Arabidopsis thaliana: one gene and its partner. The protein of the gene in region 2 interacts with the protein of the main gene of each other region in a pairwise test. Each region holds a gene or a part of one and is shown on either strand. Other genes may lie near its edges.

Region 1 (8,593 bases), 4.0 Mb from region 2:
TTCTTTCGTCTAATGAAATTTATCAAAAAGAGATGAAATTACATATGTCAGCTATAATTATATTTTTAGAAAACAAAAAAAATATAAATAAAAATCGCTAAACCGAAGTTTTTACCAATTAAAATTTAATCCTATCACCGATATCTTTTCCTAGAACAGAAATTATGTTGATATGATATTTATGAAAGTCGCAAATCTGACCGAAAACTTCTAGTCTTCACGTTTCTTTTGATATTTGATAGACTGTTGAACATAGCATATAATTACGTAGAAAAAAAAAGGTGCAAATAGTTGCATGTAGATAAATGATTGGAAAAAATTAATCTGAACAAAAAATTGGACATTATTCTGCTCATTCCTCTACAAAATAGTAGATGAACTAGATTTTAACCCGCGATATACCGCGGGACAATTTATTTTTTTAAAGTAATATATATTAAAACTTGTAAATTTTAATTTTATAAAATATTTATATTTTACAGTTTATAATTGTTATTAAGTAACGCTATACCACGAATCCATGAGACAATTGTTAAAAATTTGAAGTTTTAACCCCTATTAAAACAGCATATTAAACATATTTTAAAATTTTATAAATATTGATTCAAATACATCTACCATATAACCCAATTCCAAAATAAAACCCGTTCTGTAATTTTTTTACCCGTCCCGTAATTTTTTTTAAAATAGTAATTTTTAAAATTTAAGAATTATTTTTTATATATAAAAGTTTTGCAAATTGTATCATTTTCTAATACATTTATATTTTATAGTTTAATTTTATATATAATAACATTATACATACCACATAACATTTTTGGTTTTATATAACCTTTTCTAAATTAGGATGATTTGATATGTTTAATATTAGTGGTCTTAAAATATAATAAATTAAAGATTTAATCCGTATTGAAATTGTGGATTAATTATATTTTACTTTTTTATTAATGTTGATTCAAAAACCCGTCCATCCAAATCCGTCTTGCCAAAAAGCCATTTATTTTATTAATGATATGACTCTGAATTATAATCTAAATATTTTAGCTAATAACAAATGAGTGCACCATATTTATTTAATAGGAGACTGTACCATATGACCCGAATGCACTTTTATCCAAATCCACCAAAAAAATCTTGCAAAAATACTATAGAGATAAGAAACGATAGTCGGTTTTGATAGGTATAAGATTAGCAACTATATTAGTTAGCTTAAATTAGTTAAATAATACAAATTGAAAAGGTATATTACACTTTATTCGAATATAGTATCAAAACTTATATAACACAGAGATTTGATAATTTTTTAATTATTGAATACTTTTTTTTGTGCTAATTTTTATGTGATTAAGATTTAATTGATTTCGTATATAAAATATTAAATTGTTTTACGAACTTATTTGTTTATAATTTGGTAACAGATAGATATTTGAATATTCAGTATATTTTGCTTCAGTTTAGGAAATCTTTGATGACCCGTCTTTAGATCCAATAAGCCCTATAATCTAGTTATTAACCTGCAGTATACCGCAGGTAGGCTTATACTTTAGTTAAACTAAAAACTTTTATTGTAAAGATGATTTAAATATATATGATATTATTTTATTTGATTTTAAATGTATAGTAATCTGTGAGTTGTATATATTTTGTTGATATTATCTATATTGTTTAGTGTTTAAGATTATACACTTGTAGTTTGATTGTTAATTTAAGAGTTTCACATGTAGTATATCATCTTGTATTAATATCGATCTAAACCCGTCAATTCTAGGATTTTTCAGCTTGTATTAAAAATTGAATCACATCTAATATGTTATTAATTACTGTAGTATATAAGATTATAAATTTTCATTATAATATGTGTGAAATTGAATAGAAATATTTCAAATTATGATCCGTTACTCAGTAGAAAGTTTTCTTAAATCTATTTTTCTTCCGTTATAATATTTTTTCATGTATTGAATAGTTTATATTCGTTTTTAAAAATTCAAAATATGGCATATGCGAAAAAACTCTAATTATTTTTTTATAATGATGATATTATTTTTCGGCAAAAATAGAATCATATAAAGATGAGAAGTGAACTATAATAATTAATAAAAAATTAATATGATAATTTAGATATCAAATCTAATTTGTTGATTTTAATTGGTTACTTTTTTGGAAATTAATAATGTATTTCGTTTTTCTAATTAAATTAAATTAATTAAAATTTAGATATCAAATCTTATATGTTGATTTTGATTGGTTATTATTTTTGGAAAATAATAATATATTTCGTTTTTTAATTAAATTTAATTAATTAAATTAGTATTTGACTTTTTAATCCTTAAAGAGATAAATTAATTTACTCTTTAAAATTTTATTTCTAATGGCATACCTATGTAATTACTTATAAAAGTTAAGGTTACATTTAAAATGTACTTCCCAAATAATATAGTAGGATAAGTTGAACAAATTTTCTATATATATATATATTATTTTTTGTATTGTTTTTGGTTAAATGTGTTGAATGAGTTTTCCAACTTATTTATCTCAAATATTAAAAAATAATATGAATGGTTATTCAACTCTTTCGACTTCTTATTTTAAGACAAATATTTGTACTCTTGGCTTGATGGATCTCTTTCTAAAATTTGAAGTGTTTAATTAGTTAATGTTTTTATTTGTCAATTTTTATTTTGTTTTAAAATCATTTTTTACTATTGAAATACTTTTTGGTAAACTTCCTTTGTTAATTTTTTTTTTTTTTTTGTCATCTCCTTTGTTTATTGTTTATCTTGATAAATTACGTAGTTTTGATAAACAAACAAATCGTTTATCTTAATAAATTAGGTAGTTTTGATTCACTTTGTTTATGGTCAGTTTGTAAAGAAAAAGAAAACAAAACTCTAGTGACTAAGCAAAGTTCAGATTATTGTTGGGCCAAAATATTTAGGCCCATTTTAAGCTCTACCGTCATTTTAACTTTTTATGGTCCAAAAACGATTCGACTTTTTTCCTGATTCGTGTAGAGAAAAATAAAAAATTAAATATAAAAAATTAAGTACTTTGGGAAAAAGCGAAACGTATCTTACCATTTATACCCCTCCAATCAAAATTGATGGTTTCCCCGATTTGAGAAATCTTTTTCATCATCATCACTCTTCCTCCTTCCCCATTGCTTAGTGTTGGTTCCCAAGTCCCAACCTGCTTCAATTTAGGTCGCAAACGATCTCAATTATTCACAATCCAATCTTTTCTTCAATCGATCTTCGTTTCTGGTAAATCCTCCGCCATCGATTTCCCCGTTTCTCTCCTTATCTTAAGATTCTTGGATTCGTATTTGTTTGATTGTCAGATTTGTGAATTGTTGATCAACAAACTCGTTATCAGTATTCAGATTGAATTATCGTTGAATTGAGGATCAGTTGATAGAATCTTGAGTCGTTTGTTTCAAATCGGATTTGAATTGTGTGTTTGTAGATCAAGCTAATAATAAGCTAGGAAGAGAGTTTAGTGAAGTAGTGAAGATGCAGAATCAGATTGATATGGTGAAGGATGAAGCGGAAGTAGCTGCATCGATTTCAGCAATTAAGGGTGAAGAATGGGGAAATTGTTCATCAGTGGAAGATCAACCATCTTTTCAAGAAGAAGAAGCTGCTAAAGTTCCTTATGTTGGTGATAAGGTCAGAGCCAATATTAAAATTGATCTTCTGTTTCATATTATTCGTTTTTTGGCTTCTACGTGTTATCTTGCTCTGTTTATTTATCGAAAGAAGTTAAAAAGGTTGATTGTTTTGGTTCAATGATGTGCAGGAACCTCTGTCTAGTTTAGCTGCAGAGTATCAATCAGGGAGTCCCATTTTGCTGGAGAAGATTAAGGTTACTTTCTGCTCTGTTATCTTTTTCGTGGTTTGTTGCTTTCAGTCTTTTTGAATTATCATGTTTGCAATGCTTGTAGATACTGGACAGTCAATATATCGGAATCCGGCGAACAAGAGGAGATGGAAATTGCTTCTTCCGAAGTTTTATGTTCTCTTACCTTGTATGTTCTCAGAATGTCTTCTATTTTGCCTAGCTCTTGTTTGTGTAGTTGGTTTTGAACTTTGTTATTTTGGTTAGACGTGGATTGTATCTTTAGTTAAAGTTGCTGTTGTTTTCTCTGCTTTGTTTCGTAGGAGCATATATTGGAATCACAAGATCGTGCTGAAGTCGATCGTATCAAGGTCAATGTTGAGAAATGTAGAAAGACTCTGCAAAACTTAGGTTATACAGATTTTACATTTGAGGACTTCTTTGCGGTAAATCGACCACCTTTTTCTGTTTTCTATTGTGTCTGCTTTTTAAATCTGGTAAGATCACCACCAATACTCAATTTCATCTTTCTTGAAAATACAGTTGTTCCTTGAGCAACTAGATGACATTCTCCAAGGAACTGAAGAGTCTATAAGGTAGAGAACTGTTTATCCAGATGGCTTTTTAATTGGCATTTAATTTTGATTTCTGTTTTCGTGTGGATAAGTTCTGACTTTCATGAAATGGCACAAGTCTCTTCTCGTTGTATCTCATCCTTTTTGCAAATATCTTTCTCTTACAGCTACGATGAGCTGGTTAACAGAAGTAGAGATCAGTCAGTCTCAGATTACAGTAAGTTACTCTAATTTTCTCTGGCGATGCATATCCAATGGTACATAGTTTTGACAAATTTTTGTTGTCTCAGTTGTAATGTTCTTTAGGTTTGTTACTGCTGGTGATATACGAACGCGTGCCGATTTTTTCGAGCCTTTTATAACAGGCTTATCAAATGCAACAGTGGATCAGGTTTGTACACACGCTTACTCTGTTTTGGAATTCAGGCCATTTGGTGATATGTTTGAAATTTTATTTTTCCGTCTCTGTGATATCTCTGTCAATTTTAATGTCCTTCCAAACTTGCTTGCTTTATCTCTGATTAGTCAGCGTTGTGAGACGTTAAGTCTCTTGCACTTATGTTTAAACTAAAGATTCTGTTGAAAGTTCTGAATACCTCCTCATAGATTATTAGAGCATAGGTGAATGCAAGATATTAACACTACATTGTTATAGTTTTGCAAGTCCTCGGTCGAACCAATGGGGGAAGAGAGTGACCATATTCACATAACTGCTTTGTCGGACGCACTTGGTGTTGCAATCCGTGTTGTGTATCTTGACCGTAGCTCATGTGATAGTGGGGGCGTCACTGTGAATCATCATGACTTTGTTCCTGTGGGCATTACCAATGAGAAAGATGAAGAAGCTTCTGCTCCATTTATAACCTTGCTGTATCGTCCAGGCCATTACGATATCCTCTACCCCAAGCCATCTTGTAAGGTATATAAACACGAAATCGCCATATGACCTCTCTTCCTTTTAGATTCGACGTGGATTAAATTTAATGATTGTGTTGTTACAGGTATCAGACAATGTGGGGAAATGATCATTTGACATATCGTAAATCGCATTAGGAGACGTTTACAAAAAACTGTGGTAATATGGATTCATGTGGATGAAACCATGGAACAATCAACAATTACCCCATCGATTTGCATTTTGATTATGATAAAAGAACCCTTTTTGCAACACTATAGAATGGACCGTCTCTTTACTTTGATATTGCCTTGTATTTTTCATGAATCATGATAATATCCTTTATGATATTTCTGATGAGCAAGTGGAATCAAAGGGTTTTCGATATTACCAATGGCAGAGTTCTAAGTTTGTTTTAATGGCCTGACTAAAATCTTAAACTTGAATATTTTTTTAAAATATAGAAAAGTGACGACAAAGAAATGCAAACCCTTTGGACTATTATTTTTGAGTGTCGATTGGGTCGAGAACCCGTGGATTGGGCATAAATTACCCTACCATGAGACGAGTTAAGGCTACAAATGTTGATGCTAAAATAATGCGGGCTACACGAGTTGGCTCATGGTGGATAGTGGTTTTGAGCAGTCTAAATGGATTATATTAAGTCTTGTAAATATTTGGAACCCCCAAAAACGATGTAACAAGAAGAAACCAAAAGATAAGAGCATGCCCATTGATTGAATCCTTATAAAAAATCCTTAACATTTTTTAATAATATATTTTGGTAATTTTAAAGTTTAGAGTTTTTGTTGAGTCTCTAAATTTTTTGTTATCCAATGGTGGAGTCCTTATGAAAATTTCTTTAAAAAGCAAAAATATTTTTAAAATAATTTATTTGATAAAACTTAAAAGTTATTAGAAAATATTACAAATTGTAAACATATATGATGACATAAAAGCAAAAAAAAAGAAAAAAAGAATACAAATCAAAAGGCTTCCAAGAGGAAACTAAAGTCCGAGATGAGAGGTCTATTAATGAAATTGTCACCAAAGGAAGAACATAGAATAATCTATCTCCAGCTCAAGACACTGTCATGAACTTAAATGAAAGCACGTACCTAGAACCAATTATTTGATAACATCAACTAAATGAGCAAACAAAAGAGCATAAACATAAACCTAGAACCAATTATTTTGTGTCACCAATCCGTTGTAATGCTAATGAGAAGTGAATAAGCAGCAAAAGGGTCACATTTTTATCTTAAAAACCAACAGATCAAACACAAATTTGAACATAAACCAAAGCTCAGAAACTCTATACGAAACCAAGAGAGAGGAGAGAAAGAAAAAAGGAAAAAAACTTGTTTTGTTTTATTGGTCCTCCAATGATATAGTGCCACGTCAGCGAACCTTACTCACCCAAAAATACCTTATTCAAGGTTCGCACCTTGGTTAATTAGTCAATTTTGATTTATTTTTTTGCTTCTTTTCATTAGGATTCTCTTAAGAAACTTGTAAGGTCCCTGCAATGGACATGCTCTAAGTGTTAGTGTCAATCCGTATTTATTTTCCTTTTTGTCACAACCATCTAAAGACTATACTGTAGAGAATCAGAGGGCATAGTGTATGTATACGTCCTTTATTGTTTGTCACTTTCTTCTTTGGAAGCTTGTCACGTAACGAAGAGAATCCATGTATATCCAAATGAAATCAAAATCAAACTTGGCACTATAGTTCCTTTAACTGAACTATTCAAAGGGAACTTGAATCCAAGAAGACCGAAACTAGTAGTTATAAAAAGGGTCAAAGTCACACGCCATATGAAAGAAAGGTTGACATGAGATGCACTTAGATGGCTTAGAGGGCCGATTAATCATCTCTAACAAACACACTAAATTATTAACTATTTTTGTTATTTTTATTCATATGCATGCATGTTCTCTCTTCGATTTAACAATTCCCAACACTACTACCATACAAAAAAGACACATACACTTGTTACCGTTTCAATGTTACATTAAAAATTCAAAGCCTTTTTTTTCCTTTTGACCTACCCCTCTATCTTTCTCTTCCTCTTACATAATATTTTTGAAAACAGAAACCAATATTTTCTATACTTTAAGTAGGGCTTTAAAAGGTGTATTGGATCTTGGTTCTTGATATGGATATGGGAAAACAGGTTGGGAAAACTATATATAGATTAAATAGCGTTATTTATTTATTTAGGGTTAGAATAAACATTAGGATTGTTTGAATCAGTATTAGTTTAACTTATAATCATATATAAGTTTACTAAGTAAGAACATATAAAACCCAAATATCTCTGCGAGTGGGAATAATCACATTCAATTGTACAAGAGTAACACACTTGGTTGGGGTACCTTTCTTTAGTAATCATATCATAAGTCATGCTATAGTTTTGTTTTGATCATATAATTACCTTAACGTAGGTTATCTAATCCCTACATGTTTAACATACAACTAACGATGGAGAGTCAAAAGTTTAAATGAACTTTAAGTAAACTAATAATTGTTCACAATAAGTGAATATAGGCCAAAAGACATTGGGACAAGAAAACAAGAGAAGAAGACACAAACAAAGGGTCAGATTAGTTAGTGTTTCCAATTCCATTTGTAATTATTAAGAGGATAATGAGAAAATAGGGATACAAGAGACAAGACGTGAGAGGGTGGGGATGGGCCATTCCCACTCCTTTAGCCAACCCATAAAGGCAAAAGTTGTTTTTGAGTTTCAGACCAAATGGACTCTGTCTCTTTCCCTTTTTCATTTTTTTTCTCTGTTTTCAGTTCCCAACAAAATGGTTATTCATATAAAATTTTCCCCACAGCACAAATTTTGATATGCGATCATGATGAGCAAGTTCTCGCTTTTCTTGTTATGTAGTTTTGTTTAACATTGATTTACCAAGATTGAATGGTTGGCCTATTGTTACCGCGGTAAGAAAAGACGTTGTCGCAGTAACAATTACTAACCAAAGACTTCCGCAATTGAAAAATGGGCGTGATCACGGAGTTGTCTGTTATGTGTTAGGTTCAATATTTTTGGTTGAATAATTTACGAAAAAATATTTGGAAAATAAATATTGAGAATTTTAAAATGATATGGTGACTTCTGTTCTCAGAGGAATGGTGTAGGAACGAATAGGAGTAATTTCCGGCGACATTCTCAAGTGGGGAACACTGTTACCTTTGACCCCATCATCATCATCATTCATATCATCCATAATCTCTCTCTTTTTCTCTCCGCGATACCTACGTTCATAAACGA
Region 2 (8,360 bases):
TAGTTATGAGCTTGGGACTTTAGTCAAAGTGTCTGATTCCAGAAAAGTGGCTTATATCAAAACTCCTAATGTGTGATCAGTAACGTGTAGAAAAGGCAAAAAACATAATGGGCTTAAAGTACTAATAAGCCCATTATATGTACGACTTAATAAAGGCCTTTTTATCTATGTAATAAGCCTCTAATTCGATGAGATACTTTTCACAAATCTTTTTCTTCATTGCTTCGTCGAGAAGAGAATGAACAATGAAGTGAACTAATAAAACTTCCATTTGCAATTTCACGACCTCCATTTTCGTGCTGAGATTCTCTAAGCTCGATGGATCTAACGACGACGCGTCAGAGGCGTCCACTTATATCTGACTCTTCTTCTTCGTCTTCTACGAAATCTTACTCGAAGACCGATAAACCTGGCCGATCTAATGGCGGTGATGCGGAGGATGGTGGTCTCCGATGGTTCTTGCCGTTTATAGCGCTTTGTTATCTTCGTTACATGAGCGCGACTTCTAATATCATTCATGACTGCGATGAAGTGTTCAATTACTGGGAGCCTCTTCATTATATTCTCTACAAGTCCGGATTTCAGACCTGGGAATACAGGTTTGCTTTTCCGCTACATTTGATTATGTTACTACTGAGCTAAAGACCCGATGTTAGCTCGAGTGAGCATGTACTTTGAGCTGTGATTCTATACTTATGTATCGGTGACTACTGATTCTCAACATTTTGTTTCAATTTGAAATCAGAAATGTGAGGTTGGGATTTGGTTTTAGTGGAACTTCGGTTTCAACGGAATCTTTATTAGGTTATCGAGCTTTGTTTTATATGAAGATATAATCATGAGATTGATTACTTTTTTTTTTTTTGTGTGTGTGTGTGTGTGTATTTTGCAGTTCCAACTTTGCTCTTCGGTCGTACTTATACATTCTATTCCATGAATTGGCTGGACGGCCTGCTTCTTGGTGGTTTGGTGATGACAAGGTAAGCAATGCATACTTACTGATGTACATTCTAATCGGTATAGATATAACTGCATGTTTCTTATCCAGTTTACGTCTATCTTTTGGATAGGTTAGAGTTTTCTATGCAGTGAGACTCTTTCTCGGACTGGTTTCTGCAGTTTCAGATACTGTCCTGGTTGTTGCGCTCTCCAGAAAGTATGGGAAACGTATCGCTACCTATGCAGTTGCGATGCTCTGCTTAACCAGTGGCTGCTTCTTTGCTAGTACCAGTGAGTGTTTTGTTTTGTTTTGATTTGTTGTTACACTTGCTTAAGCTTTCTGTCATATTTCCTTAATATGCATATATAGGCTTTCCAAGTTATTCTTGCATCCGATAGGTTTTAGTTTCAAATGCTTGTATAAGTTATTCCAAAGACATTGCTCTGAATTTGGCTTTGTGTTCTGGTTTCTTACTAATTCATGTTTCTCTAAAATTTTGATAGGTTTCCTCCCCAGTTCATTTTCTATGTACGCCATAAGCCTCTCATCTGGTTTATTACTTTTCGAGAAGTATGCCATGGCTGTTGCAGTTTCGGTTGTCGGGGTGATTCTTGGCTGGCCATTTTCTATCTTGGCCTTTTTACCTGTCGTTATTTACTCTCTGGTTAAGAGATTCAAGCAAGCATTTATCGCTGGTGCAGTCACCACTATATTTCTCCTTGTAAGCTAACACCAATCCTAGATGCTTTGTCTGTGTGAATTTTATGGGAATTATTGGATCTCGCTGACTTTCATTAGCACCTGTAACTTTAAATTACTATTTTCTCTTCTAATTAGTTTTGTCTCTTTTCTAGGGAGTCTCACTACTTGTGGATTACTATTATTACAAGAGATGGACATCATCAGTTTTGAATCTCTTGATATACAATGTGTTAGGGGGTGGAGAGAGCCATCTCTATGGGACTGAAGGAGCGTTATTTTATATAAGAAATGGATTTAACAACTTCAACTTCTGTTTCATTTTGGCAATGTTGTTTGTCGCAATATATCCTGTTATCAGAAGGAAGTATGACCGTGCCCTGCTGGTTGTGATTTCCCCGATGTATATTTGGCTGGCGTTCATGTCACTTCAGCCCCACAAAGAAGAAAGGTGATTTTCTAAGATCTTTCATCTTGTAATTTTTTGAGCATTCGTATGGTGGCTTCTATATCGTTGAGGAAACCAGTTTTATGATACTTTTACAAAATCACGGTATTCAACAAACAATGTTTTTGATTGTCAATTAATTGACTGCAGGTTCCTTTATCCTATATACCCTCTTATTTGTGTCTCTGCTTCTGCTGTTATTGAGAACATCCCTGAGCTGTTCCGGGAAAAGTATAGCTCACGTGAAAGTCTTCTGGTGACAGTAAGTTCCAACTTACAATATCTCAGTCTCTGATTTATACCTTTCCGCAAATTGAAAAGAAGTAGATTGTACGATTCTCACATATCTGTTTAATACGCAGATAACCAAATACATGCGACCTGTGATTCTTGGTTGTATCTTATGTGCTTCACATTCTCGCACATTTGCTCTTATTAATGGCTATTCCGCTCCCTTGGAGGTCTACAAACTACTGGAGCATCATGATGATGCAGGACCAGGTATATCCAATTCGAACTGAACTTCTTGATCATTATAATGCTAAGACGAGTGAAGATCACATCTCACTTTTACTTCAAGAATAGTAATTTGCCATTGGAAAAAGGGTAACAAAGTCCTTTTGACAAAAGTTTTCTAATCACTGATGACTTCTTGGTTGGTTTTGTATGTCAGGTTCTGTTCTATGTGTGGGAAGTGAATGGCATCGATACCCATCATCGTTTTTTGTGCCCCACTACATTAGCGAAGTACGGTGGATCGATGATGGATTCCGCGGTCTTCTTCCATTCCCATTTAACAATACACTTGGAGGCACTTCAGCATCACCTCCATACTTCAACAACAAGAACCAAGCATCCGAAGAACAATATGTAATACTCACACACTCTTCTCTCATGAAACCTTCAAAATATCTCTAAACATAAACTTAATCATGGCTTGTTTACTCGTTCCATTTTTTCCAGTTAAAGAACATCGAAACTTGTACATTCCTCATTGAGTTGCAGCTTAGCAGACCGTATCAGTATCGAGGCAGCGACTTATCTACATGGGAGGTATAGGAATCAAACCATCTTCCTGAAACAGAATCCATCTTTGATTTCACTTCACTTCTTCAATTGGTTGTTTTGACCCTTTTTTCAGGCTATTGCGGTGTTGCCTTATTTGGACAGAGAGCTGTCGCCAGCTAAGTATAGATCGTTCTTCATCCCGCACATGTGGCAGGAGAAAAATGTGTTTGGCAAATACGTAGCACTGAGAAGAGTCCCAAAATGATCACAAATCGTTAAAACTCCTTAGACTTGTAGCTTTAACTCAGTTCATTGGGTAGTTTTGGGAGAATGTAATAACTAATAACTGATTAGTATCGGCTTTAAGTTCAGGTACGTTCACGGTTCGTAGTTGTGTTGTTGTGAAAGAGACTAGTTTTAACTTTGTAAGAAATCTCCAAATGGTCAGAAGAACGTGGAAGATTATGTTTATGACATTATTGTGCAAAGTCTATATTCTTTTTGTCTTTTGATATTGCGGATTCCAATTTTGGCTATCGAGAAAAAGGGAGAAAATGAGAAGACTATGGAGGGCACTTCATAATTCATATTTCTGTCCTCTTTAAGTTAGCGTTTGACCAACGCGTCGTAAAAAGGTACAGAAGAAGAACGCAATAGAATTGAAGATAATGAACTAAAAAAGTTGTGTATATATATTGTAAAAGATTATCTTTGAAGAAAAGAATAACCTAAACAAGGTATTAATTTTTCTAAAAATTTGATCGAGTCATCGAGATCATGGTAGGTATATTGACGTTTGTAATAATGTTGTCACTATGTTACCACCAGACTAATAAATAGTGCATGTCGTTTACAAAACTAAGAAAAGATTATTTTCTTAGTAGTTTTCAATCATGGTTAAAAAAGTATTTGAATATGGAAATTATTCTTAAAAAAATTGAATATGAATATGGAAGAGAACTTACAGAAAATTATTTACTAAATGTATTCCTTACATATTTCATGTAATTATATATTTTTACTAGCATAAAAGCATCAATTTATTTCCGTAAAGGAAAAAAAGAAAGAATTAAAAGGATCAAAGGGGCACGAAACTAGAGACGACGAAGCGTACTCGATTATTATCAGCCTTTGGTAGCTTCGTTCTCTCTCAAAAACCCTAACTTCTCTGTGACGATCGAATCCGATAGCGTGCGATAATGGCCAATAGTAATCTTCCCCGACGAATCATCAAGGTTAGTTTTCCGATCCTCTGTAGCATCCTCCGATCCGTATCTCCCCTCAGTTTCATTTTGGGGAATTCTAATCTGAAATCCGAAGAAGGAACCGACGGATTATATACCTCAGCAGAACTGGGAAGAATTTTCGATAGCTTGTACGATCTTATATCATCTTCGTCATCTTGATCTGACTTTTTTTTGTTCTTCGATCTGATAGGAAACTCAACGTCTGCTTAGTGAACCTGGTAATTTCATCACTTCATTCGATCCTTGTTGATTTCTCACAGTTGATTTTAGCTCAAACAGTTGGTTTTGGTAGCTGGAACTATTGATTTTAATTCTAAGTTGTATATCTTTCGAAATTGCAGCTCCTGGGATAAGTGCGTCTCCATCAGAGGAAAATATGAGATATTTCAATGTTATGATTCTTGGTCCTACTCAATCTCCTTATGAAGGTAGTCAAATTGTTTTAATCTCCCAAAGATGCTCATCGTTACTTCTTCCTTTTTCTTCTTTAATGCATGCTGCTCAACGATTTATCGTTATCGTTTCTGCTGCAAGTAGTGACTCTGCTCTGTCTCTATATTTGTTTATACAAACGGATATGTTCGTTTAGGTACTACTAGGTCTCATAGATTGCTCATGTTCGGATTGTAGTGTTATGAATAACGATGAGTCTTTAAGCTACCTTTGAGTTCATTTCGACACATTTTATTTGTTCTAGAATACACAATGCCAAGTCGAATTTCCAGAATCAAGTCTGCTGTTTTATCTATCATCATATTTCTGTTAATTGATGTTTACCAATAATTTTGTTTCCTTCTCAATCTGTAGGAGGAGTTTTCAAGTTGGAGCTCTTTTTGCCTGAAGAATATCCTATGGCAGCTCCCAAGGTAAGTTGCTTCAACTTTTGTGTGTTTTTCTTCTTTCATTTCATGTTTCACTTGTTTTGGTAACATTAGGATTACCCCACATAACATTGTTAAGTGGAGGTAAATGCTCTTTAAGTGAATGTCTCTCTACTCTTAACACTAGGATTTTATTTATGGGTTTATGAGATTGGTGATTTTGGTTTTGTTATGACTACTCCGAATGTATTTTCTTATATTATATTAGACAACGTATCCAAGTTTCTTCATTGATGTAGAGTTTATGGGTCTTATTGATGATATCATTTGAAACACAGGTTAGGTTTCTCACCAAGATTTACCATCCTAACATCGACAAGGTCTGTTGTGAAAAATTTCCTTTTCTTCTCTTACTGTCAAGATAACTAACCAAACACATGGTCTTTTATACTTATGGATCATGTTTTGTTTGCACTTATCATGTATATATAGCTTGGAAGAATCTGCCTTGACATACTGAAAGACAAGTGGAGTCCTGCACTACAAATACGAACTGTGCTCTTGAGGTATGAATATATCCATAGAATCTTCTTTCCCTACTAAATCCAAAATATTGTAGAAATTAAGATTTAATTATTCACACTTTCTGATTTTCCATTGCCGTGTAAAAACAGTATCCAAGCTCTTTTAAGTGCACCAAACCCAGATGATCCTCTGTCTGAGAACATAGCTAAGCATTGGAAGAGCAATGAGGCAGAAGCTGTGGAAACAGGTGATAAAATACGATCGAAAAACTCAAAAAAGTTGCAACAAAAACTTTATTCCTCTCCTCTCTAATCTGGTAATCTCATATCAATGTGAACTTATGCAGCTAAGGAATGGACTCGTCTTTACGCAAGTGGTGCTTAAAGAAGACTGCAAATGGAGAAAGATCATTGTCATTTAAATAACATTATATATGGTGAAACTCTATCTCAAGGTTTTATCTGAATCCTTTTTCTGAAAACAGAGGAAAAAGATTTGTACTCTCTGAATTTGTATAACTAGGGGGATCTAAGACTCGTTTACCCATATCTGGAATCTAACTTTCTTCAATTGTGCTTGCTTTTGATCTTTGTTTTTGTTATATATGCTCTATAATAATCTTTATAAAGTGGTGTAGATAATCAGATTTTCACAGGTTGTGAATCAAAGTAAATTGGATGAATGATGCATAATGTTACTATTACAGGTGTATGAAGCAGCTTATTTTGGTCAAATGTAAAAAAAAAAAAAAGTGGTAAAAATAGTAGTCACGAGGAATGAGACTTGAGATTTTGAAAAATGGGCATAATCAGAAACTTGACTCGTCAGTTGATGGACGCCTCAAGAAGTACCTCAGACTATTAGCAAGGACCTACAAATACAAAATTTGATTTCATTTCAGTAAAAACATTTCAACTTATCAAAGAGAAAAGTCTAATTTCAGAATTTTAACCTGCTGGAGAGGCTTGATTAGGGCTTTGTTCCTGTAGCTTACATGAAACTTCACCTTAGCCAACAAACCCTTTTTGTTTCACATACAACAAGAAGAAGCAACATGAGAAACAGAGCGATATTATAGCGGAGGGTATATGTTTTAGACATTAAAAAACAGGATTATTAGATACCTCGGTGTCGAATTCTCCAGATTCAACAGCGACGCTGATATCTGAAATGATCTTCACCAGCTCAACTAATAGTCCAGGTCTATCCGCTGATTCTATGAAGAGTAAACTGCATCATCAACAAATAATTATGGATCAATGATCAGATCATATATCATAAGAATAAAAGCATTTGGATAAGGTTCTAGAGTTGAGATAAGGTATGGGTATACATTACCTGCGGTCTGGTCCATCATCTTCAATGGTTATATGTGTTGCTATGTCCACGTCAATCTGTCAACATCCCAATCCAAAATACAGAAGAAGGAAAATGAATTTTGAAGCTACTTTGAAGTTGCGTGGGTATTCCCTTCTTCATCAAAGTGATTAATACTATAATGAAGTTTAATACTTGTACTCTACATTGACCCGCCAAATCCAAATATGTTGATTATTAGTTAAGTCTTTGTTTTCTCTATTATTGTTTCTTATCTGTACGTGACCGAGGAAACGACAAGCAGTCTTGACCTTTATGTTCGAGGATGCTAACTACTTGAAGAATTAGTGCAATACAAAAGAAGTGGATAAGGTTATAAAAAGAGCATCACAGTTTAAGGTTTTTACCGGTTCAGTTGGAGGAAGAACACCAAAAGCTGCTCCCATTGCCAACTGAGAACTTGATTCCTGATCCAAATCATCGAGAAGCAATGTGTGAGTTAAAAAATTATGCAAGATATAGGAAAAATAGAAAGAGAGGATATTAGGATGTGAAGTAGTTACAGGATGAAACTCAAGCAGATTGTTTATGACTGTGAGACGAATGGCCTCAAGCAATTCAGGGTCTTCTACTTTTCTTCCACTATCTCTGTTGTAACAACAATTACAGTCAGCTCAAAACTCAATCTAAAGTCAACTATTTGACAGAGTCAATCGATTCAAAGCAACATTAACTATCTAAACGACTCTTGGAGCTCAAAATACTCTTTGATGATATGAAAAGACATACGCTCTAGTAATGGCAAATTTGTTGTGCTTGCCGGAAGAATCAAGGTAAACATTTGCCTTGACGACATTCAATCCCAAGTTTTTGAGCGCATTCATCTAGAAGGGCAAAGTTGATCAGATCAAGAAGCAGTCAAAAAAGCAGGAAAGGAAGTAAGAAGCTTTTGTGAATGTTGGTCGATTATGCAGAGCTAGCAACAAGTGAGTAAGAAGAAGGTATCCTTCCTTACAGTGTCAAGTAAAGCTCCAAGACGATCTCCGAATGTAACTTCAAGAACGGTTGCATCAGGGTCAGAATCTTGGTCGATTATAACAACTGGAGTTGGAACTTTATCAGAATCAGCAGCACTTCCTTCTTGCTTTCCATTCTTCAAAATCAAAAACAAAAACATATAAACTTTAAAAAGTCTATTCAAATTACTAGTGTCCTTGTGTAATCATTTCATTTTCATACCTCCACAGCAGTAGCATTTGATGCTCTAATCTTCAAAGTGGATAATCTGAAGAAAAAAAAAAAAAAGAATTGAATTGAAGTATTTGAATCCGTAGAAGATCAGCTCAAAACAATCT

Evidence for each region. Proteins that work in one complex are often made in the same cells at the same time.
Region 1: the proteins of UBC36 (region 2) and AT1G28120 interact in a two-hybrid assay, tested with the Arabidopsis thaliana proteins (one large-scale study listed by BioGRID).

What each region holds. Positions count from the first base shown.
Region 1 is NC_003070.9:9,810,060-9,818,652, reverse strand, and holds AT1G28120 (ubiquitin thioesterase otubain-like protein), read left to right. Parts: upstream 1-3,092; 5' UTR 3,093-3,260; intron 3,261-3,462; 5' UTR 3,463-3,509; coding exon 3,510-3,665; intron 3,666-3,795; coding exon 3,796-3,861; intron 3,862-3,940; coding exon 3,941-4,024; intron 4,025-4,157; coding exon 4,158-4,280; intron 4,281-4,377; coding exon 4,378-4,430; intron 4,431-4,576; coding exon 4,577-4,626; intron 4,627-4,699; coding exon 4,700-4,800; intron 4,801-5,064; coding exon 5,065-5,328; intron 5,329-5,410; coding exon 5,411-5,434; 3' UTR 5,435-5,723; downstream 5,724-8,593. UniProt on the Arabidopsis thaliana protein: Hydrolase that can remove conjugated ubiquitin from proteins in vitro and may therefore play an important regulatory role at the level of protein turnover by preventing degradation.
Region 2 is NC_003070.9:5,774,262-5,782,621, reverse strand, and holds UBC36 (ubiquitin-conjugating enzyme 36), read left to right. Parts: upstream 1-4,137; 5' UTR 4,138-4,294; coding exon 4,295-4,330; exon of another isoform or gene 4,331-4,532; coding exon 4,533-4,587; intron 4,588-4,683; coding exon 4,684-4,770; intron 4,771-4,793; exon of another isoform or gene 4,794-5,149; coding exon 5,150-5,208; exon of another isoform or gene 5,209-5,501; coding exon 5,502-5,543; intron 5,544-5,655; coding exon 5,656-5,729; intron 5,730-5,837; coding exon 5,838-5,935; intron 5,936-6,034; coding exon 6,035-6,072; 3' UTR 6,073-6,445; downstream 6,446-8,360. Other genes in the region: AT1G16905 (Curculin-like (mannose-binding) lectin family protein), read left to right, coding at 1-76; EBS3 (Alg9-like mannosyltransferase family), read left to right, coding at 319-599, 893-980, 1,071-1,230, 1,444-1,661, 1,795-2,090, 2,238-2,349, 2,450-2,588, 2,761-2,957 and 2 more; ACR11 (uridylyltransferase-like protein), read right to left, coding at 6,497-6,559, 6,641-6,709, 6,813-6,918, 7,027-7,082, 7,413-7,472, 7,569-7,653, 7,795-7,889, 8,021-8,158 and 1 more. UniProt on the Arabidopsis thaliana protein: Catalyzes the synthesis of non-canonical poly-ubiquitin chains that are linked through 'Lys-63'. This type of poly-ubiquitination does not lead to protein degradation by the proteasome. Mediates transcriptional activation of target genes.